Linked DNA regions of Saccharomyces cerevisiae S288C. The protein of the gene in region 3 binds, or shares a complex with, the protein of the main gene of each other region. Each region holds a gene or a part of one and is shown on either strand. Other genes may lie near its edges. The genes, in order: YCS4, BRN1, SMC4 and YCG1. A codon is read from its position in the direction of its gene.

Region 1 (5,956 bases), 380 kb from region 3:
TTTTTCGTGATTATTTTTATAAGTCGCCGTCACCCTAACCATCGCCCATATTACAATAATAACAAAATCCTTGGAATGAAGAGAATAAAATTTTAATTAAAATTAATAAAATAGTTAATCATATTCTTTTGCCTTCATAGATTAGATATGAAATATTTTGCTCACATAAGTTAATATTGCTTTTGCATTTTTGTTTCTGACTTTAGTTTCTCATTAGTCGAAATGACTTTAGTTCTTTAGAAATATTTTAAATTCAGTGGGGGATTTTCGTTCTTTATTGGTGCAAATAACGATTAGTTTTTCATTTCACGATATTTAGCTGCAGTTGATAGGTGATATATCTGCTTTAACTCTTACCTTTACAGTTTGTGATGAAATGATAGGTTTAAACAGTCGTTTAAAGAGTTGTATAACAAAAGGACTCTTAACAATCGAAGTTTTTTTAACATGTTAACACCATCTTTAGTAAACGTTATATTATTGAGTATGTGAAATATACTAGAAGTTCTCCTCGAGAATATACGAATCAATAAAAGAGAAACAATATTTCTCCACAAAATCTTATAATTATTACACCTTTCGTTTTATATGTTTCATTGTCCTATTACATTATCAGTCCTTGCATTTCAGCTTCCATTATATTTGATGACTGTTTCCCAATCTTTATGCCATCTTGTTACACCGCATATGATAATAGATTCTAGTAACATGAATACTACTAATAAATGATATTTTAGAGTTTCATTTCAACAAATATACTATGTGAAACAGTAGTCAAATTTAATATGAAACCGAACATGCGAGAATTGAGGATTAATAGGATGTGAAACATATAAAATGGAAGAAAGATAATTACAAAATTTTGTGGAGAAATGTTGTTTCCATGTTATTGAGTCTTATATCCTTGAGGAGAAACTTCTAGTATATTGTGTATACATAATATTATATTGCCTTAAGCAAAATGGAATCCCAACAATTATCAAATTATTCACCAATTGATCATACACAATAGTTGATTATCATTTCAACATTATAACCTTATACAGAGAGTAATATACTAATGGATGAATACTACCAGTAGAATAAGACATAAACAAATATGATTAATGTCACTTTTTGCTTTTTTGCCGTCATTCTTTTTTATTTTTGTATAATTGGTGGTGTAACGTGGATTAAACATAAATAATAGGTTTCGTGGTCTAGTCGGTTATGGCATCTGCTTAACACGCAGAACGTCCCCAGTTCGATCCTGGGCGAAATCATTTTTTATACCTGTTATATTTCATAGAAATGTAGTAGTATTGCGAGATGAATAAAATGTCTGCTATTCAATAGTAAGGGCTTCTTTCCCCCACCTCTTTTGTTTGATTTTAAAATTATTATCAAGTAACGCGTTGTTTTCTTGTCGCGAGCCTTTTATTTACAACGAGTAAGGGTCAGGATATCTATGGAGTTTCTAGCTTGATCGTTATCACAAACTTTACTACTAAATGATAATTGTTGGTATGAACAGTATATATATATATATATATACATGTTCTGATCTTGAAAAAAAAATAAATAAAAAATGTTATTGATTGCAAGAATTTGGAAAGCAATTCATATGAGAAATTAAAATAACCAATTCCAGATTCTTTTTTTTTTTTTTCACTTTTCGAATTAAGTATCTTAAATACTGCACTTGTATATTTATATTCTTACTGTTGTAAAAAGAAAGACTAATGGCCTTTGTCAATTGCACTTTGGGTAAATTGGAAAGCAATAATATGAAAATTAAACGCATCGCGAAAATCTTGCGACCATTTAGTAAACAAAGAAAATAACCTGTCACTGACCAAAAAAAAGAAAGGTAAAGGAAGCAGCAGTAACAATATCTTTATCCTTTGATAGGTGGTAACTGACTTCGTTACTTTATGAGATGTCCGGCTTTAGCCTTTCCGAGTATCTGACCAAGTTCCAAACAACAGATCGAGAATCATATCCTCGCTTGCAGGACCCATCCAGAGAACTGAATGTTATCATAGACCAATTGGCCGTTTCACCCGAACAAATAGATGCTAGTCCAGATTCACTAGAAGCATTAATAGATCTTTGCCATGACTTCCCGCACTTAACACCGAAATTACAAACTCAACTAAGCTATTTGATAAGTTCATCTCTGTCGAATCTGTCAAAAGATATTAAGGCTAATCTCTCATCAAATGTTAACTTTACTGAAATTGGTGGCCTGATACCGCAGTGGAAAAGGCATTTAGAAGAGTATGGCTACCTTATTCAGGTACTTTTGACGTTTTTACAAGATGAGTTACATAAGGTCTCCTCGCAGTCTACCAATCTAAACCGTTCTGCCAAAAACAGTAAGAATGATAGTGCAAACGTCGAGCTGTTTAAAAGAGACTGTAATCAAATGGAAAACTTGCTTGAATCTATAACAAAGCTACTGGAGATTAACTTATCTAAGATATTTCAGACAACTCCTGAAAAGGATTTGTTTATTGGTTTGTTCACAAGACCATTATTTGTGTTATTAGAGATTGAACCTGTGACGAAGGTATCATCACTAAAGATGTTTATTCAAAGGATTTTGGCTATGTGTGTTAAAAATCACGGTCAAAGTTCAAGTATACAAAGTTCATTGATGACAAATTTAACTTATTTTCTTCATTTGTCGGTTTTTAATGCAGAATTACTAAAACTATTGAATGATGAATATAACTATCCACAACTAACAGAAGATATCTTGAAAGAAATCAGCACCAGGGTATTTAACGCAAAGGATACCACAGGCCCAAAGGCAATATCAAATTTTTTGATTAAATTATCAGAGCTATCACCAGGAATAATGCTTCGACAGATGAATCTTGTCATCACCTTACTCAACAATAGTTCTATAACATTGAGATGTTCCGTTGTAGAAGCATGTGGAAATATTGTGGCTGAATTGGCTCAAGACCCACAAACTATGGAACATTATAAACAACAAATAGCCGTACTTATTGAGTTACTAGAAGAAAGATTCCAGGATTCAAATCCCTACGTTAGAACGAAGGCGATACAAGGGTGTTCAAAGATCTGCGATTTGAGTTCGAAATTTAACAAAAGCAAAGCTAAATTTACTTCGTTGGCAGTACGATCATTGCAGGACCGCTCCTCTTTAGTTCGTAGGAACTCAGTAAAGTTACTTTCAAAATTATTGCTAAAACATCCTTTTAAGGCCATACATGGTAGCCAATTGAGGCTGAGTGAATGGGAAGAATATCTCAAAGGATCTGAATCACAGCTAAATTCCACTTTAAAGAAAGTAGAGTCACAAGAAACTCTGAATGACACGATTGAAAGGTCTTTGATTGAAGAAGAGGTAGAACAAGATGAAGGTCAATGTAGGACCGAGTTAGAAGGTTCTTTCAATAAGAGCGCAGAACTTTCTAGAATAGAAAATGAGGTAGAGAATATAAATGCAACAAATACCAGTGTTCTCATGAAGCTAAAGTTAATGATTGTTTACTATAAAGATGCCATTAGTTTCATTAAAGAGATACACAAGAGTATTGAATTGATATCTAATTTGCTGTTTTCTAAGAACAGAAACGAAGTTTTAGAATCAATGGACTTCCTAGTTTTAGCAGACGCTTTTGACATTGAGTTAAGCGAATTTGGTATAAAAAAAATGCTGCATTTGGTTTGGATGAAGGGCACAAACGATGAAGGAACGAGTATATCAGTACATTTGATAGAATGTTATAAGCAGCTATTTTTAACCGCGCCAGATAGTTGCAATATGCAGGAGAAGGCGGCACATATTGCCAAAAATTTAATTAATCTAAGCATCGGCGCATCTATTGCAGACTTGGCCTCTTTGGAACAGCTATTAGGAATGATGTATGAACAAAAATTGATTGATCAACATGTCATTAATATCCTTTGGGCTATTTACAATTCTGCATCGAAGGCCAGTATGCAGAAAGAACAAAATGTGAACAACCGTGACTCCGAAAAAGGGTTTTCTAAGGAACAAATTCATGGTTCTATTATTATTTTAGGAATGTTATCGTTAGCCGATAACGAAATAGCATTAAAAGGACTGGAGTCACTTTTAAACATTGGACTTGGTGCCGTTGGTTTAAAAGATCTGACCCTTTGTCGGTATTCTTGTTTAGCGTTAGAGAGAATGGTTCCCAAGAGAAGCACTATTATTACCAAGGCAATAAATCAAGAGCTTGAAGATGTTGCAGTGAAAAAGTTGTATGCCATAATTATCAACTATACCAAGGATAATGAATATTATCCTATGTGCGAACAAGCGCTTAGTGCACTGTTTACAATCTCTTCTAAGCCCGATATACTAGCTACAGATCTGATTAGAGAAAAGACAATGATGACATTTGGTAAACCTGAAGAGGAAGACTCTATTTTGTCGTTAGAACAATCATCTAGAGTTGTTTCTCTCAGTCAATTATTATTCATTGTAGGACAAGTGGCAATTAAAACACTTGTCTATCTAGAGAAATGTGAGGCAGAATTCAAGAAAAGAAAGATCGAGGCAGAAACTCGGAACGGTAAAGTAAAAAACCAAGGTGCAGATGTAACTAACACCACACAAGATAACGGTGGTGATAAAGAGCTAGAAATGATAGGAGGTACTAATGAGGACGATTTCACGGATGCTATTCAATTTGTAAAAGAGAATGAATTACTATTTGGAGAAAAATCTATATTAGGGAAGTTTTGCCCAATTGTAGAAGAGATTGTTTCTAATTCAAGCAGGTTTAGCGATCCAATGCTTCAAAGAACGGCAACCTTATGTCTAGAAAAACTAATGTGTTTATCATCAAAATATTGTGAAAAGAGCCTGCCGCTATTAATCACAGTAATGGAAAAATCTCCTGATCCTACTATTCGCTCAAATGCTGTCTTAGGACTAGGTGACATGGCAGTATGCTTCAACAACTTAGTAGACGAAAACACAGATTATTTGTATCGCCGTTTGCATGATGAAAACTTAATGGTACAAAGAACATGTTTAATGACAGTTACCTTCTTGATTTTAGCTGGACAGGTTAAGGTTAAAGGACAATTAGGAGAAATGGCCAAATGCCTAGACAATCCAGACCAGGGAATAAGTGATATGTGCAGATTATTTTTCACCGAGTTAGCATCCAAGGACAACGCCATTTATAATGGATTCATCGATATCTTTAGTAATTTATCGTCAGATGATTTATTGGGTAAGGAGAGTTTCAAGAAAATCATCAAATTTCTGTTAACTTTTATCGATAAGGAACGGCACCAAAAGCAATTAAACGAGAAATTAGTTGGAAGACTGAGAAAGTGCGAGACCCAAAAGCAATGGGATGATATTGCATTCGTACTAAACAATCTACCATACAAAAATGAAGACGTCACTGCATTATTGGAGCAAGGTTTCAAGGTTGTATCCGCAAAAGAATAATCGAACTGACGTTTACCCGTTTCTTCCGTTTTATATTATATGTTATTATATAAATAAAAGCTGTTCATTTCTTTCTTCTTGAAATATGACTTTACCTATCTCGATAAAATTCATTTGTGGTCGTCTTCATTCACTCCTGGGCAATGCTCGTAGAGATCACCTTCATCCTTATACTTGATTCCGCAAAAAAAACAGTAGTACTTCTCGGACCTCAGGAATATATTCAATTTTGTTATTCTTTTTTCAATGCTCAATTCTTCTAATTCAGCAAGTTCTGTGTCTTTTGTAATGCGACTACCGATAATTGAAGTATCACAATCTATTAATGTAGAAGGACGTCCAAACTTTTCACCTTTTATTGCAGGCGAAGCCTCCAAACTTTCATTTACCATTGGTATCATATTATTCTTATCTTCATTATCATTGTTACTGTGATTATTTAGGTCATTTTTTGCTACTTCCTCATTTAGTTGCATAACGTAAGATCTCCAAAGTACGTTAAAGTCT
Region 2 (4,713 bases), on a different chromosome or scaffold from region 3:
TCCCCTTGCCGAACAAGAGGCCTTGTCCTACATGATATTCCCTATGCCCGCTTGGTATTTTCTCACTGAATAAGACATGGTGCATCTTCTCATCCTGGGCCAACTTGTTGTAAACCTCGCTTTTCTCGATTTGAGCGAGGATGTCAACCCTCTGCAGCTCCATAGGTTGGCGGCTCTTGGTCGCACTAATCAACTCCGCTGGCGTTTGCGGATCATTCAATGATAGAACACCGGCATCATCGGGCCACGCCTTTACAAACGCACCAACTCCTAATGTAAAACCTGCCGTAGGCAAAATTACTGCCCTGTTGACTAATTTAAATAGAAATGGAATAGTTCTGGACATATTGGAACTCACCCTCGATCTATCCTGTCATTTGGTCATTGTCTATAAAAATAAATACCTTGTTTTATATCCACTTTTCGAAGCGGTCCCCTTTCGGCGATAAAGGATTTCGTAAGCCCGAAGGCTTTAAGAAACTTTGCAGCACAAAAAAAAAAAAAAAAAAAAAAAAAAAGATCATCAACTATGACGCTGCCTGTGTTGTCGCTAGATCCTCATAATTCACTATCAAGTCATTATAGTTTTCGGTATGAGTTATCTGCAACCCATGCTCATTGGCTAAGTGTAGAAGGCATATAAAACAAAAGCTTGTTGAAATGTCCTTTAGTGTATCATCCGAATACATTTTACTTATACCCTGAATGATATCAGAAAACTTGAGCTCCTTTGTTGATTCATCTTCTGTGTGGGTTTCACTGTCATTAGAGCTTTGTTCTCTATTTTTCCTACTGTCATGTTCTTGTATCAAATTGTTGATCGATCTCCATACGTTTTTCTTTAATCTTCTTACGTCAACTTTTTTCGAAACTCTTGAATAAGTAACTTTATTTTCTCGAATGGGGAACTTATGATCTTCGTCATCCTGTAAATCAAGTTTCACACTGGCCTCCTCGTTATCATCTGTTCCTTCGAAAGCTTGGTTGAAGTCAACACCGTCCATGTCATCTTCAAACGGATTATCGAGCGCTCCACCCACCACATCACCAACCTCTTTAGACTGCTCCTTTTCTTTTTCCTCTTGTTCTTTCCTTTCGTAATTATCCGCCCAAAAGTGCTCATCTGCAATAGTAGGAATGTCGTTATTTGAATGGTTGGCAGAAACTGTGCTTTTTTCAAAAAGCCCCGAACTAACGTCGCCTCTGGTATGCTTCCTATGACTGAACAGACTCATTTTCTGCCCCGGTTTAATGAACAATCTTGTTATTCTATCAGTGGAAAAATGGAAGTCATCCGGCAGTAAATAATGTGTGTCGTTCTTTCTGTTCTTAATCGGCATGTCAATCTTTGTCCTTCCTTTTGAGGCAAAGACTTTGTCTTCAAAACTATCATCCGTTTTGAAGAAATCAATTTCCAGAACCTTTTTTTGTTTATGCTTCTTCTTCGTATCCATCGATTTGTCGTCCGTTGTGTTTTTGTCAGTAGTATCTCCTATAGTAGTTCGCGTTTCTTCCAACAGGTCGGATTCTTTATTCACTAAGTTTGCTTTCTTAAAATTTCGTACTTTCCAATGTTCTCTCCCTCTCCAGTTTCTATTTAGATTTTCGTCAAAGTATGCCATCAAATCTTTTTCGAATATACTTCCTGTGGTACTGTTGACATTATCATCATCTTGTTCATCATGTGATGTATTGTCATGATTTTCATCTGGATAGCACAGCTCCTGTTGCATGCCCATATCAAAGCCATCGCTATCATCTTCTGCATTATCTGGGACAGCTGCTTGCAATTCTTCTTCAGTTAAGAAGTTATCAAATCTGTTGTTAACATTTTCGATAAAGTCTTTCGCTTGATTAATATCTTCGACAACGTTCCTTAGTTGCTCAATCGATCCTGAAATTTCACACACCGCAATTTGATCAAATTTTATAAAATCCATACCAAGAGATAAAATCTCATCTTCCATGGAAGGTGCACTAATAACGGAATCATTTACGGTTGAGTCATTACGAGTACTTATCAATGACTGGCTAGGTTCATTTTCGTCATCTACTAAACTATCTCTTTCAATTAATTCTTCTTCTTTCCTTTGAAGTTTACCTTGCCCTACGTTTTGTGTATCCTTAATTGATGCATCGAAAATGACTCTTGCAGTGTTGTCTATGTTTAATGTGTTCAACAATAAACTCTTGGCGCCACCTTCATCGAAATCAACCAAGGCCTTTTTGAATAATGGATCAATTATTAATTCCTGGTCTAGCTCTTTCATCTTGATCGTTTCGAACTCCACCAATGTTGTTTCTAAAACTCTGTTGTACACTCTCCGCCTAGTGTTATTCACATCAGGATCATTAGATATAGGCATACCAGTTAAGGGATCAATCTCTATATTTGCTTCGTCACTGTCACCTCCAAGCCCTTCACCATTTCCCCCGTTACTGTCATCTCCGTTAGATGCCCCATTCGTCTTTCTTTGTGCCAACCCGCTCAATAACTTACCTGTTTCCGTTGTCACTGAATCAACTCTCGAAGAGTAAATCTTAATACACCCATCCAAGGTTGCAGATGCTTTCTGAAAATTGATGTTATTCTCGCCATCTTTCAAAACGTCCAAGTCATAAAAATAGTCGATCAATGCGAAATTCCAACTATTTCGGGAATTGATTTTATTATCTGTAGCCATTTTGATCCATTCTTCAAAATTTGCCATCATGGTGGATCTATTGGTAAAGAGATTATATTCTACTCTTTCATCGTCATCGTTATTTTCATACCTTAGTTGTGTAGTCATCTTATATAACTACCTGCTGGTTTTTTTTGCTCCAAAAAGTCCACTAAGATGATTTTTTGGTGCAATAAATAGAGTATTTAACTAGCCAATATAAAAAGTTCAACCATATGGATATTATCTTGACAATACTTCACTAAAATGTAAACAAAGAAAGCGCGAACAGAGCCGTTTACCGTTTCGCGTGATCAACATCACATAAAATAATTAGTGTATTATATATATATATATATATATATATATGTATATATCACTTATTTTAATAATCCTCTCCTAGCGTACACGGATGGCAAGAATAAACTGGCTTCAGGAACGTTCTCTTGTCAAAAATTTGAAAAGCTTGTAACCGCCAATAGATAACATACCGAGTGTCAGAGATTCTAAGAATTTCAAGATACGTGTTTGCTTTCCAGCCCTTTCTAAAGCTCTAGAATACGAGATATCGGATCTGAAAGATATCATTGTATACAAAGGTATCCACTTATCCTTCATTATAATACTAAAGAGAGCATCTAGCTTTTTCCTTAATAAAAACCGCTTGGATGTAACGTCATGTGACATTTCTTTATAGTTCCTTTTTGCCAGCTCAGTAATAGAAACTAGGTCCTTATGTCTTGTTTGAGTGTACTCAGTAAAGGCTCTTGAACGATCTCCTGAATGCTTTTTCAATAGCGCCATAAGAATTCTCACATCTTCAAATCCGCAATTCATACCTTGGCCGTAAAATGGAACCATTGCATGGGCAGCGTCGCCGAGTAGGATGGCCTTTCCGCCTGGTACATCGTATGGCTTACAGTTTACACAGACAAGACTTTCCTTTGGATAAGTGATAAACCTTTTGACAGCATCGTCCAAATCCATAATATTAATAATATCGGGAAAGTTCTCGATTAAGAATTCCCTCACACGTGACTTGGAAGTTATCAGATCTGATATTTGATCTTTAGAACCGAAAAAGGTTGAAGTGAACGAGCCGTCACTGTTGGCGAGCGCAATTAACATGAATTTATGACGAGGCCAAATGTGCAAATGGTCAGGAGCTATTGCAAAATTTCCGCCATAGTTTGGCTTGAATTCCTCAGTAGGCGGGATGTAAAGTTCAATGTAACGTAAATTCATATATTCTTGTGAAAAATCCATCTCAACTTTACGTTGCATTTGCGATCTCGTCGCAGAGTATGCTCCGTCACAACCTATGACAAAATCATACTTTTCAGTATGTGGGGTTTTCAAATCTTCCCCAATGGCAAAATGACAGATTTGTTTATCATCTGTCCATTCGATTTTGACTAATTTGTGACCGAACTTCAGTTCTGTTGTAGATTTTTCTAATTCGTCCAAAAGGCTATTATTTAATACAGATCTATTGATAGAATTAATAGCTTCTCCATGCAAGCCATACAATTGTGATTCCTGTCTGCCTTTCAAGTCATGAATCATCCTGCCTTTCATGGGAATCATATCTTGCAGAATATGTTCACAAGCATCCGGATCTATTGATTTCAGAGCATCAATGCCACGAGCAGAAATAGCCAAATTAATGGATTTCAAATTTTTATTTTTGGTGGTGTCCAATCGAGGATCTTGTCTAAAATCATATAGTGTGACATTGTAGCCTTCTTTGGAGAATGCCAAAGCTGCAAGGCAGCCTACTAATCCTGCACCTATAATGGCCACTGATTCAGACATATTTTCAAGTTAAACAGATTAACTGACTACGTGATTTTTTAACTGTCATTCAATATTTTATTATTAAAAACAACGTCCGTGCCAGAAATTCGGGCCTTTTATAAGAAATAGTGGCGGAAAAAAGAGTCAGTGCTAAGAATGGAATAAACTAGAGGCTATTGTGGGAAAAAAAAAAACAACTCCAAAATAAAAACCGCTTGCAGGCGATATTTCCTTATTTTTGTAGTAACTCATT
Region 3 (6,676 bases):
TAGAAGAACCGCAGATCGAAGTGCCTCAGATAAGAGATCTGGGAGACGCCACTCCACCTATGGAATGGTTTGGTGTCAATAGAAAAAAATTTCCGAAATTCACTCACCAAACCGCAGTTATCCCCGTCCAAAAGCTTGTTTATCTTGCAGAAAAGCAGTATGTCAAGATACTAGATGATACGCATTAATCTCGTTCCTAATTATATTCAAAAGTCCTTGATACCATATTTCTGGTTTATGTTTTATAGTTTTTTAACTACGTGATATTTGCATATAGTATAGATTTCCTACGCCCCATATTTATGAATCTTGCATTCGAATTTTGCTTCAAAAAACTTTGTTTAAATTGTATTTTGAGAGTTTGTTAAGATATACATGTACTTTCTGTTTTTGGTGCATTATCATTGACCTTTTTTTTTTTTATTTCCTAACTGCTGCCCAAAAGAAGAAATAAACAGGCGGGAATTTGGGTAGTATCTTTAAACTTCTTTGATAGCATGATATTACAATCAGCAAGTGCTCTTGAATTGATTATTGTACTAGCTAAGTTCTGTTTAAGATATCTATGTTTTTAATCGTGGTACTTTTGGTTCTATTATCTCTTTTATAAACACCAACTAACTGTTGTGCTAATTCGAACATGTTATTTCTCAGCGAAATAACAATAAACTGTGCATTCTTGGTTCTTTCTTTGATATAGTTAGCTACGATTGAGACATTTCTGAAATCCAGAGCGGCATCTATTTCATCCATGACATAAAGGGGGGTTGGTTTATACTTATGTAAAGCAAAAACCAAAGCCAAGGAGCTTAGTGTTTTCTCACCACCTGAAAGGTTTGTTATATTTCTCCAACTCTTTTTAGGAGGCATAACACTAAACGTAACTCCTTCAGAAAAAGGATCTAGACTATCCACAAGTTCTAATTCAGCATTTCCACCCATAGTAATCATTTGGTACATTTCTTTTAGGGTCATTGATATGATATTAAAGCCAGCCATAAATTCATCAAATCTTTTCTTTTTAAGTATTCCTAATTGTTCCTTAACTTCATCTCTTTTTTGAACAGCATTATTTAAATCCAGCTTCCTTCTTTTGAACTCTGCTAAGCGCCTAGCGTACTCTTCCAAAACTCCAATATCCACGTTAGTCTCTTCGACATAATATGACAATTCATTTATTTTACTTTCAATCAGTTCTACGTCCAACTCCCTTAATTCGTCCTCAGAAAGTCTTGGTATCCCTCTGGATACCTCATCTGAAGTCTCATCAATGTTCATAGGATGATAATTGTCACAAGAAGTCTCAGCGTCTTTTATTTCACTCTCATCTTGAGTTTCACAGGACCGGTATTCCTGATCAAGTTCTTGATTGTTTTTAACATCCTCTTTCACTGAGTCCATTTTATTATCGTCTAACATTCCCAGGGTGTGGGTTACATCCCTAATTGATAGTTCGTTTAATCCTTTTTCTTGCTGCGTTATCTCACTTTTGATGTACGTCAACAGTGAGTTCAATTTTTCCAGCTTGTTCTTCATTTCGATTTCTATAGATTTAAATTCATTGATGCTTTCCTCCATGTCCTCCATTTGTTCCTTCAGTTGTTCGCTCTGTTCTTTTAATTCAACTTTCAAGTTGAGCGTCTCATTCATATTTGTGTCATTTTCTGCCAAAGCCAGTTTTGTATGTTTTAGTTGTTCTTCGATGACTTTTAACTCATCTGATGATAGTTCTACGTCTCTTTCAGAGTTTTGGAGCAGTTTTTGAAACTTTACGACATCTCCTCCTGACTTCTTTGAGGCAGATTTGACTTTTTTAAGTTTGGCCACTAGAATATCCAATTTCTGACAAACTGATTCAACTTTTGAATTTTGCATTTGCAATTTGATACCACCAATTTTCATGATTTCGTCTTGCAAGCCTTTGATCTTTTCCTTTTTAGTTTTTGTTTCGGATTGCAAATCATTGTATTCGCCTCTCAAGCGTTCCAAATTCTTCATCACCACGTTTAGTTGCGCTTTGTCACTAACTGCCTTGACGTACGCCATTTCTGCCTCTTTCACTTGTTGTTCTGCCAGTGTCAATTCACTCGCCAAGGAATCAGCTTCCATTTCTGCCTTTGATATTTGTGATTCCAAGTCTGGTTCGTGGTCCCTCAATTTTTTCAGTTCTTCCTCCATCTCGTGGACCGTATCGCTTGCCACGCGGAAGTTATTTTCTCTTTCAGATAGCTCACGCTCAATTTTATCTACTTCCTCGGGGGTGTAATCATCAACCTTGTCTGACTGATTCGTACCTAATTTCATTAGACCTTTTGCTACATGGTTGCCACCACCACTCATTGTACCAGAAATATCAATTAATTTCCCATCCACAGTGACAACTCTAAATCTTTTCTTCCCATATGCTACATTATTGGCTTGTTTTAAATTCTGAGCAACCAAAGTGTCTCTAAGAACACTGTAAAATGCATTTGAGAATTTTGGGTTTTTAGGTTTAACTAAATCAAATAGTCTCGGTACATTTTCTGGTGTACTGATAGGTTGTAAATTGAATTGGCGTAACCTATCCAAGAGAATAAACCTTGCATAACCAAGTTTGTTTTTTCTTAAGTAGTCGATGCAGTGTTGCGCACATTCTACAGTATCAACCACGACATCATCTAGTCTCGGACAAGCAGTAGAAATAGCAACGTCAAAACTATCGTCGATAACGCCCAAATCGCCCAAACGTCCATGGAAACCATTTATACGTCCTGACTTTTGCAGTCTCGATAAAGCTGTTAAAACCTTACTTTTATTCTGAGCTTTTGATAAAGAGGATCTAGCTTCCATTGCACGCTGGCGATGCGCGTTCAAAACCTTTTGCATTTCTTTTAACTTTAGATGAGCAGAAGTAAAATTCTTTTCACCTTGCGACCTTTCATCTTTAAGTGAGTTCAGCTTCTTTTTCAGATCGAGGATAAGATCTTGTAGCTCCTGCTTGTGTGTTTTCTTGGCAAGAATTTTTTCTTCTAAAGTTTCAACGTTTTTTTTCAGTTTAGCTTGAGTTTCCTCCAACAAAGATAGTTCGGATTCAGCCAATTGTATCTGTGATTCTTTTTCCTGAAGTTGGAGGTCCCAAGGCTCCAGTTCCTTTTCATGCCGAATAATCTCTGCAGATATATTCTTCGTTTTATCTTTCAAAGATAGTTTAATATCATCAAGTATACTTCGTTCCTTTTCCAGCAATTGAGTCAAGTCTTTGATCTCCGTCTCGTGTTCGGTTTGTTGTCCACGAAGCTCTTCAAGCATATTCTCGGCCTCCGATATTGAATGTTTGGTGGATTTCAAAGTCTTTTCTGCTTTTTCCATTTTACTTACCAAATTTTTTGTTCTCTCTTCTAGAGACACCCTGGTGCCTTCTAATTCTCTTCTTTCTAAAACCAGGGTCTTTTCTTTCGAGCTACAAGATGATATTCGATCTTTTATTTCCTTACGTTGTGCTTTAATCTCATCCACTTTTTTCAAAGATTCTTGAAATTTCATCTTCTCATCTTCGAGGTCTTTATTCGAAGAGGAGATCTTTTCCAAGGTGCTGGCAAGTTTAGAGTTGCTTTGCAACAATTTAAATTGAAATAATTTTGATCTTAAAAGCGTCAGCTGCTTTTCCTTCTCTAAAAACTCTAACGCCGTTTCTTTCCCTGACTCTAAAGAGTTTTTTTCTCTATCAACAATTTCAAATCTATTTTCCTTTTCCAGGCAAACTTCATTTAGATTCTCAATCTGTCCCATTCGCTCTTCAATTAACGGCTTATAGTTTGCAGTTCCAATTATGTCCTCCAGATATTCCAGTAGTCCGTCGTCACTCTCTTTTTCTGCTTTAGGCTTCATTTGAGCAATATTCTCTACTTCACCTTGTAGAATTAAAAATCGTTTATGGTCTAAATCAATACCCTCATTCTTTAAAAGCTTTGTCACCTCTGTGTAGCTACTTTCTTTTTCGTTTATGTAATATTTCGATGAGTTGTTTTTAAAGGCTTTCCTTGTAATGATCAATCCAGGTTTTTCTTCATCGATTCGGGAAGTACCCGAAGATTCATCAATAACGTACTGAAAATGTACAGCTACGGAACATGATTGCAAACTTGGGAAAGCTTCTGATTTATGAATTAAATCCGACAATCTGTCCTGTCTCATCTTGTTCGCTCTAAATCCAAATACAAATAACATGGAATCGATGACATTTGATTTACCTGAACCATTGGGGCCTACCACGGCCGAGAAGCTAGTATGAAAGGGTCCTACTACTTGTTTACCAGCGTAGGACTTGAAGTTCTCTAAGACTAGTTCGTTAATAAATAGTCTGCTCTGTTGCTTGCTCGACGACTGGTGCCTATCATAAATTTTTTGTAGTTCAACCCTGCTATTTTTCACTGGCGAAAGCTGGAGCAATTCTAATCTTCTAGTTGGCGATCTTCCTGGAGACCTTGGTGGTGATTGAGAGTAGGACTTATGGTCGCGACCCCTAGAAGAGGTTTTTGGTGGTTGCAAGTTCGGTACATGTAATGACGTGGTTGTTGAGTTTGTAGGTTGAGAAAAGGCATACCGATTTTCCCCAGAACTTAAAACAAGCTTTCTGGGAGTATAAGATTTGGAATAAGATGCTTCCAACGCAGGAAGATCCGGCTCTGGTGTATTCTCGCTTAGGTTAACTCGGTTTTCTACCTGCGAATCTTCTTCGGCATCACCTTGATCAAGAGATAATTCTGGTTCTTGGGCGGACTTCCGCTTTTGTCTTTTGCTCAATGGACTATCAGACATCAAATATATTCTGTTGGTTGCACGTGGTTAGTGTTTAAGGTGATGCGGCTTCTTATAGGGCCTCTTTTATGGTATGAAATCGATTCCAGTGTGTAGATAATGTAAACCTATATGTATTTTCGTGATTATTGTAAACAGTTTACTTTCCGTCCATAATTACAAATGCATTTCAAAATGGGCCAAGAAGAACAAGAGAATTAATGCAAGACCAAAGGAGAAGAAGCGCAGAATCGTGGACAAGATAATTTAAACTATGGAAACACCACCCATTGTGATTGATAATGGCTCATACGAAATCAAGTTTGGTCCTTCCACGAATAAGAAACCGTTCCGAGCTTTAAATGCATTGGCCAAAGATAAATTTGGGACATCGTATTTATCAAATCATATCAAAAACATCAAAGATATTTCATCTATCACCTTCAGGAGGCCACATGAACTAGGACAGCTCACATTATGGGAATTAGAGAGTTGTATATGGGATTATTGCCTTTTCAATCCTTCAGAGTTTGATGGGTTTGATCTGAAAGAGGGAAAGGGTCATCATTTGGTTGCTAGCGAGAGCTGTATGACTTTACCAGAATTAAGTAAGCATGCCGACCAGGTGATATTTGAAGAATATGAATTCGACAGTCTTTTCAAGTCTCCTGTAGCAGTCTTTGTACCATTTACCAAGTCATATAAGGGTGAAATGAGAACAATTTCAGGTAAGGACGAAGATATCGATATTGTCCGTGGCAACTCAGACAGTACAAATTCCACATCAAGCGAGTCCAAGAATGCGCAGGATTCAGGTAGCGATTATCATGATTTCCAATTAGTTATTGATTCCGGGTTTAATTGTACTTGGATAATTCCTGTCCTGAAGGGAATACCGTACTATAAAGCGGTAAAAAAATTGGACATTGGAGGCCGTTTCCTAACTGGGCTACTAAAGGAAACTCTATCATTCAGACACTACAATATGATGGATGAAACCATACTTGTTAACAATATCAAGGAACAATGCTTGTTCGTTAGCCCGGTGTCTTATTTTGATAGTTTCAAAACGAAGGATAAGCATGCACTAGAATATGTACTTCCTGACTTCCAAACAAGCTTTCTTGGTTACGTAAGAAACCCCAGAAAAGAAAATGTACCGTTACCTGAAGATGCGCAGATCATAACACTGACAGATGAGCTTTTCACAATACCAGAAACTTTTTTCCATCCAGAAATTTCGCAAATTACTAAACCAGGCATTGTGGAGGCCATCCTAGAGAGCCTTTCCATGTTGCCCGAAATAGTGCGACCTCTTATGGTAGGAAACATTGTATGTACAGGAGGAAACTTTAATCTGCCCAATTTCGCCCAACGGCTTGCGGCAGAACTACAAAGGCAATTACCCACAGATTGGACTTGTCATGTTTCGGTGCCCGAAGGTGACTGTGCTCTGTTTGGGTGGGAAGTGATGTCACAGTTTGCAAAGACAGATTCCTACCGAAAAGCGAGGGTCACAAGAGAAGAATACTATGAGCATGGTCCCGATTGGTGTACGAAGCACAGGTTTGGTTACCAGAATTGGATATAATTAACTATAGATTTACATAGCAACAATGAAAATCCGAAAAGTCGAGACCTTCAGGTCATTTTCAATTTGGATTTTGTCATGTTTTTAAGAATCTTCCGCAGGCAATAATACATCTCATATGTTTTACATTTTTATTGACAAATTCCCAAATTAGGCAAAAATTCCTCTTTTTTAGTGGTTAGAAACGCCATTCTTCCCATTTTTTCGCGATACAAAAAAAGAAATATATGGAAATGTGGAAATGTCATCATCAGAAGTCTCGAAGGAAAGTGTGCGCTTTAATCATCCCCATACTAGACTTTGTAG
Region 4 (5,336 bases), on a different chromosome or scaffold from region 3:
AAACTTTAGTGGTAGAGGGCCTCCCTACGACTAAAACTTGTCCATCAGGTGATAAAGAACAAGTTGAGATATTCTGGTCATCTTTTAAAGTTAACTTGCAAACTAGCTTATAATTCTGTTCTGTACTAGAATCGGTTCCCATTGTCCATATCTTAACAGTAGATTCGCTCCATGAAACAACAAGGCGTTGCTCTTTGTTAACTAAAACATTCTTTGAATAAGGTTCGACAGTTGGCATCTTCCTGTAGTTTCCATTAGAAAAAGAAGTAAGTGAGTTGATGACTAGTGTTTTTTCAACACCTCCTGAAACTAGAAAATCTGCACCTTTAGATTGGTATGCACATATTGCTCTAATGTCGTTTCCATGAAGCAACCTATTAGAAGAATTTACCCATCTGTTGTTCTTTTGAGATTTGTTAGTGTTTTGAGAAAATTGAAAGATTTTTCTGTCCACACCAGCACTAAAAACATAATTATTATCAGTATCGGTAGTTAGACACAGTACGTCTGCATCGTGCGCCTTAAATGACTGGTTTAGCGTGGCAAACTGGAAATCCCAGAATTTAATGGAGCCTGTAGAATCACCAGAGGCAATCTGATCAGTTCTTGGTAAATATATAACTGACCAAACTAGAGTTGATTCTTTTTTGGCCTTGTCGACCTTCATAGTGTGTAATAGACGACCCATGTTTTCGTCATTTTTTTGTGCAGACCAAATCCTTATTCTACCATCAGAACAACCACCAATCACGAAGTCATCCTTTTTCCAAGCCAAAGTCAATACTCTGGCTTCTTGTCTCATCAAAATAGTATCGTGTTCCAAGACACCAGGCCCGCCAGAGATATCTATGAGGACCACCGTCCCATTATCGCAACCCACAGACAGCTTGTCTTGTGAATCGTTGATGGAAATAGACCATATCACACCTGAATTGCAATCATAGTTTCTTAATGGTAAACCTGTTGCTAAATCCCATTCTGTTACCACAGTCGAGCCGCCAATAGAAAATAGCCTTAGAGACTCGCCGTTAACGTTGCTCCAGCAAAGGCCTTCAATTGATCTGTCTTTGCCACCTTCGATAACCATTTCCTGAAACCAATTGTTTCTAGGATTCCAGATTTCTATGTTACCATTAGATCTACCAATAGCTAATCTCAAATCGGACGGAGTTAACTTATTTATATTTGATTTATGTGAAAATGCTAGAGATGTGATTGTGGCAGGAGTGAAATCCACAAATCTGCATCTATGCACTATCATCCTTTCCTGACTGGTCATCTTCACCGGTTTGTTTCGTATTTTCAGGCTTCTTGACTTTTCTTTTAAAACTGAAAGTAGCGATGAGCTCATTCGTAGCTTTTTTCTTGTCAGTCTGAAAATTTTTCATTTGGTTTTTTGAAAAAAATCCTGCCTAATATGGTATCAAGAGGAATAACAAGAAAAAAAAATCATGGGGGATACAAAGGAAAACAAGGAGATAATGCAGGTTATACTGAATTGCTCATAGTATTAGCCTAAAGCACTTTACCTCTGATTTATTGCATCTATCGTATTCTTGAGTTATTGCGACTTTTAAAATCCGTGCACCGCATATGAAAGGGTAGAGCCTTCGTGTTTGTTTACCTTTTTAGCTCTTTGAAGATCAAACAAAAACACTTCAGTAATGCCTACAGCCTTGGATAAGACAAAGAAGTTAACAGGCCGCGCCCATCATGCAAGATCCTGATGGTATTGACATTAATACGAAAATCTTTAACTCAGTTGCTGAAGTATTTCAAAAGGCACAGGGTTCTTATGCAGGACACAGGAAGCATATAGCAGTTTTGAAGAAAATTCAGTCAAAGGCTGTTGAGCAAGGCTATGAAGATGCTTTTAACTTTTGGTTCGATAAATTAGTTACTAAGATCCTTCCTCTGAAAAAGAATGAGATTATCGGAGACAGGATAGTAAAGTTAGTAGCTGCATTTATAGCTTCTTTAGAAAGGGAGTTGATATTGGCCAAAAAACAAAACTATAAGCTCACGAATGATGAAGAAGGGATATTCTCAAGGTTCGTCGATCAGTTCATAAGACATGTTTTGCGTGGTGTGGAAAGCCCTGACAAGAACGTCAGATTTAGAGTTTTACAGTTATTAGCCGTTATAATGGATAATATAGGGGAAATCGATGAATCACTTTTCAATTTATTAATATTGTCTTTAAATAAGAGGATTTATGATAGAGAACCAACGGTTAGGATACAGGCTGTGTTTTGTTTAACTAAATTTCAGGATGAAGAGCAAACTGAACATTTAACTGAGCTTTCTGATAATGAAGAAAATTTTGAAGCTACGAGAACTCTAGTTGCTTCTATCCAGAACGATCCGTCAGCTGAAGTACGGAGGGCTGCAATGCTGAATTTGATCAATGATAATAATACTAGACCGTATATCTTGGAGAGGGCTAGAGATGTAAACATCGTTAATAGAAGGCTCGTGTATTCGAGAATTTTGAAATCAATGGGAAGAAAGTGTTTCGATGATATTGAGCCGCATATTTTTGATCAATTGATTGAGTGGGGTTTAGAAGATAGGGAATTATCAGTGAGAAATGCGTGTAAGAGACTCATTGCTCATGATTGGTTAAATGCTCTGGATGGCGATTTGATAGAATTACTAGAAAAATTGGATGTCTCAAGATCCTCAGTGTGTGTTAAGGCTATAGAAGCACTTTTTCAATCAAGGCCAGATATATTATCTAAAATCAAATTTCCTGAAAGTATTTGGAAAGACTTTACCGTAGAAATTGCCTTCCTCTTTCGGGCTATTTATTTGTACTGTTTGGATAATAATATAACAGAAATGCTGGAAGAAAACTTTCCAGAAGCCTCAAAATTATCCGAGCATTTAAACCATTATATTCTTCTCAGATATCATCACAACGACATTTCTAATGACTCTCAGTCGCATTTTGATTATAACACTTTAGAGTTTATTATTGAGCAACTATCGATTGCCGCCGAAAGGTATGATTATAGCGATGAGGTTGGAAGGAGATCGATGCTTACAGTGGTACGAAATATGCTGGCCTTAACTACACTCTCCGAACCTCTTATTAAAATTGGTATTCGTGTAATGAAAAGTCTGTCCATAAATGAAAAAGATTTTGTAACAATGGCAATAGAAATCATTAATGATATTAGAGACGACGATATTGAAAAACAAGAACAAGAAGAGAAAATAAAAAGCAAGAAGATTAATCGCAGAAATGAGACTTCCGTCGATGAAGAGGACGAAAACGGCACACATAATGACGAAGTTAACGAGGATGAAGAAGACGACAATATTTCATCCTTCCATTCTGCTGTAGAAAACTTAGTGCAGGGAAACGGCAACGTATCTGAGAGTGACATAATAAATAATCTCCCACCCGAAAAGGAAGCGTCCTCAGCAACAATTGTTCTCTGTCTTACAAGGTCATCATATATGCTAGAACTAGTTAACACACCGTTAACAGAAAACATTTTAATTGCGTCGTTGATGGACACTTTGATCACACCAGCGGTTAGAAATACCGCGCCAAATATTAGGGAGCTTGGTGTCAAGAACCTTGGTTTATGTTGTCTCTTGGATGTGAAGTTGGCTATTGATAACATGTACATCTTAGGTATGTGCGTTTCGAAAGGTAATGCATCATTAAAGTATATTGCGTTACAAGTCATTGTAGATATTTTTTCCGTACATGGGAACACTGTGGTAGACGGAGAAGGCAAAGTTGACTCAATCTCGTTGCACAAAATATTTTACAAGGTTTTAAAGAATAACGGTTTACCGGAATGTCAGGTGATAGCAGCGGAGGGTTTATGCAAACTATTTTTGGCAGACGTGTTCACTGATGATGATTTGTTTGAAACGTTGGTTTTGTCATATTTTTCGCCGATAAATTCCTCAAACGAAGCGCTGGTACAGGCATTTGCCTTCTGCATTCCAGTCTATTGTTTTTCACATCCTGCTCATCAACAACGTATGTCTAGGACGGCTGCGGACATACTCTTAAGACTATGTGTTCTTTGGGACGATTTACAGAGCTCTGTAATACCTGAGGTAGACCGTGAAGCTATGCTAAAGCCTAACATAATATTTCAACAGTTGCTATTTTGGACTGATCCACGTAACTTAGTTAACCAGACAGGTTCAACAAAAAAAGATACAGTGCAGCTTACATTCTTGATCGATGTGCTCAAAATATACGCTCAAATTGAGAAGAAAGAAATAAAGAAGATGATCATCACTAATATAAACGCTATATTTCTTTCTTCTGAACAAGATTATTCTACTTTGAAAGAACTTCTTGAGTATTCTGACGATATTGCAGAAAATGATAATTTAGACAATGTTAGCAAAAATGCTCTGGACAAGCTAAGGAATAATTTGAATTCGCTGATTGAAGAGATCAATGAAAGGTCAGAAACTCAGACAAAAGATGAGAACAACACTGCGAATGACCAATACTCGTCTATTTTGGGGAATTCATTCAATAAATCTTCAAATGACACCATAGAACACGCTGCTGATATAACTGATGGAAATAACACAGAATTGACTAAAACAACTGTTAATATTTCGGCAGTTGACAATACAACAGAGCAAAGTAACTCAAGGAAAAGAACGAGATCAGAAGCGGAGCAAATTGACACATCCAAAAACCTGGAAAACATGAGTATTCAAGACACGTCAACTGTAGCAAAAAATGTAAGTTTTGTTTTACCTGACGAGAAATCAGATGCAATGTCCATAGATGAAGAAGATAAGGATTCAGAGTCTTTCAGCGAGGTCTGTTAAAATTGATATGCGAGCTCTTCATCTATTTAAGTTGATTTTTTGGTTGTAAACATATTTGTATTTTATTCTTAGGTTTGTTAATTCTTCTACGCTTACCAGATATAGATGCTATATGTTATTGCATTACGCACATTACCCGGTGGGACAAATTATGGAAATATTCCAAGGCTATAAATTCTTTGGTGAAAGGAACTGAAATTATGTCCAGTAATGCACCAGAAATGGACATATAAAACTATTAATGCATTTTATTACAATTATCCTAAGAAAATATCCTATATATAATTAAAGTAAAAGAAATAAGATCAAAAGAACAAAATAAAGTCGAGTAGAATTTTCCTACTTGACTATATTAGAACGAAAAATGTTATTTTATCAAAGTAATTGGTTAGTAGCCGACGTGTTATCCGTTTGGGCCAATAATTCTTTCATTTCTTGCAGCTGCAATTCGGTGATTTTTATAGATTCAACTAGCTGCTGTATTTTATGATCACTAACTCCATTTACGAGCTTAA

What was found.
Region 1: the proteins of SMC4 (region 3) and YCS4 are in contact, whole or in part, in a cryo-EM structure (PDB 6YVU), measured with the Saccharomyces cerevisiae proteins. Residues at the interface, in NP_013187.1 of Saccharomyces cerevisiae: Gln1283 (codon at 954), Asn1290 (codon at 933), Val1296 (codon at 915), Asp1297 (codon at 912), Ser1298 (codon at 909), Leu1299 (codon at 906), Asp1300 (codon at 903), Ser1303 (codon at 894), Met1311 (codon at 870), Lys1314 (codon at 861), Ser1316 (codon at 855), Trp1317 (codon at 852), Arg1360 (codon at 723); in NP_013374.1 of Saccharomyces cerevisiae: Glu901 (codon at 4,619), Val1006 (codon at 4,934), Cys1007 (codon at 4,937), Val1012 (codon at 4,952), Glu1014 (codon at 4,958), Ala1044 (codon at 5,048), Gly1045 (codon at 5,051), Gln1046 (codon at 5,054), Gly1088 (codon at 5,180), Ile1090 (codon at 5,186), Asp1091 (codon at 5,189), Gln1126 (codon at 5,294), Glu1129 (codon at 5,303), Lys1130 (codon at 5,306).
Region 2: the proteins of SMC4 (region 3) and BRN1 are in contact, whole or in part, in a cryo-EM structure (PDB 6YVU), measured with the Saccharomyces cerevisiae proteins. Residues at the interface, in NP_013187.1 of Saccharomyces cerevisiae: Pro175 (codon at 4,278), Val184 (codon at 4,251), Gly185 (codon at 4,248), Pro186 (codon at 4,245), Asn187 (codon at 4,242), Ser189 (codon at 4,236), Ile363 (codon at 3,714), Glu367 (codon at 3,702), Lys368 (codon at 3,699), Leu371 (codon at 3,690), Asn1385 (codon at 648), Phe1388 (codon at 639), Leu1394 (codon at 621), Val1395 (codon at 618), Gly1396 (codon at 615), Val1397 (codon at 612), Tyr1398 (codon at 609), Lys1399 (codon at 606), Arg1400 (codon at 603), Thr1407 (codon at 582), Thr1408 (codon at 579), Ile1409 (codon at 576), Lys1410 (codon at 573), Asn1411 (codon at 570), Ile1412 (codon at 567), Asp1413 (codon at 564), Ile1414 (codon at 561); in NP_009455.3 of Saccharomyces cerevisiae: Leu101 (codon at 2,492), Lys108 (codon at 2,471), Ser693 (codon at 716), Ser712 (codon at 659), Thr713 (codon at 656), Ser714 (codon at 653), Phe715 (codon at 650), Phe717 (codon at 644), Ile718 (codon at 641), Leu721 (codon at 632), His722 (codon at 629), Ala724 (codon at 623), Asn725 (codon at 620), Leu729 (codon at 608), Gln730 (codon at 605), Ile731 (codon at 602), His733 (codon at 596), Asn736 (codon at 587), Tyr737 (codon at 584), Asn738 (codon at 581), Leu740 (codon at 575).
Region 4: SMC4 (region 3) and YCG1 share a complex: the UniProt entries of both Saccharomyces cerevisiae proteins name them as parts of the condensin complex.

What each region holds. Positions count from the first base shown.
Region 1 is NC_001144.5:683,165-689,120, reverse strand, and holds YCS4 (condensin subunit YCS4), read left to right. Parts: upstream 1-1,918; coding exon 1,919-5,449; downstream 5,450-5,956. Other genes in the region: protein phosphatase regulator PIG1, read left to right, coding at 1-38; CMG1 (Cmg1p), read right to left, coding at 5,560-5,956. UniProt on the Saccharomyces cerevisiae protein: Regulatory subunit of the condensin complex, a complex required for conversion of interphase chromatin into mitotic-like condense chromosomes.
Region 2 is NC_001134.8:38,910-43,622, reverse strand, and holds BRN1 (condensin subunit BRN1), read right to left. Parts: upstream 2,793-4,713; coding exon 528-2,792; downstream 1-527. Other genes in the region: MRX3 (Mrx3p), read right to left, coding at 1-346; BNA4 (kynurenine 3-monooxygenase), read right to left, coding at 3,096-4,478. UniProt on the Saccharomyces cerevisiae protein: Regulatory subunit of the condensin complex, a complex required for conversion of interphase chromatin into mitotic-like condense chromosomes.
Region 3 is NC_001144.5:300,367-307,042, reverse strand, and holds SMC4 (condensin subunit SMC4), read right to left. Parts: upstream 4,801-6,676; coding exon 544-4,800; downstream 1-543. Other genes in the region: CSF1 (Csf1p), read left to right, coding at 1-188; ARP6 (Arp6p), read left to right, coding at 5,054-6,370. UniProt on the Saccharomyces cerevisiae protein: Central component of the condensin complex, a complex required for conversion of interphase chromatin into mitotic-like condense chromosomes.
Region 4 is NC_001136.10:1,115,413-1,120,748, forward strand, and holds YCG1 (condensin subunit YCG1), read left to right. Parts: upstream 1-1,713; coding exon 1,714-4,821; downstream 4,822-5,336. Other genes in the region: small subunit rRNA maturation protein UTP4, read right to left, coding at 1-1,351; YSP2 (Ysp2p), read right to left, coding at 5,197-5,336. UniProt on the Saccharomyces cerevisiae protein: Regulatory subunit of the condensin complex, a complex required for conversion of interphase chromatin into mitotic-like condense chromosomes.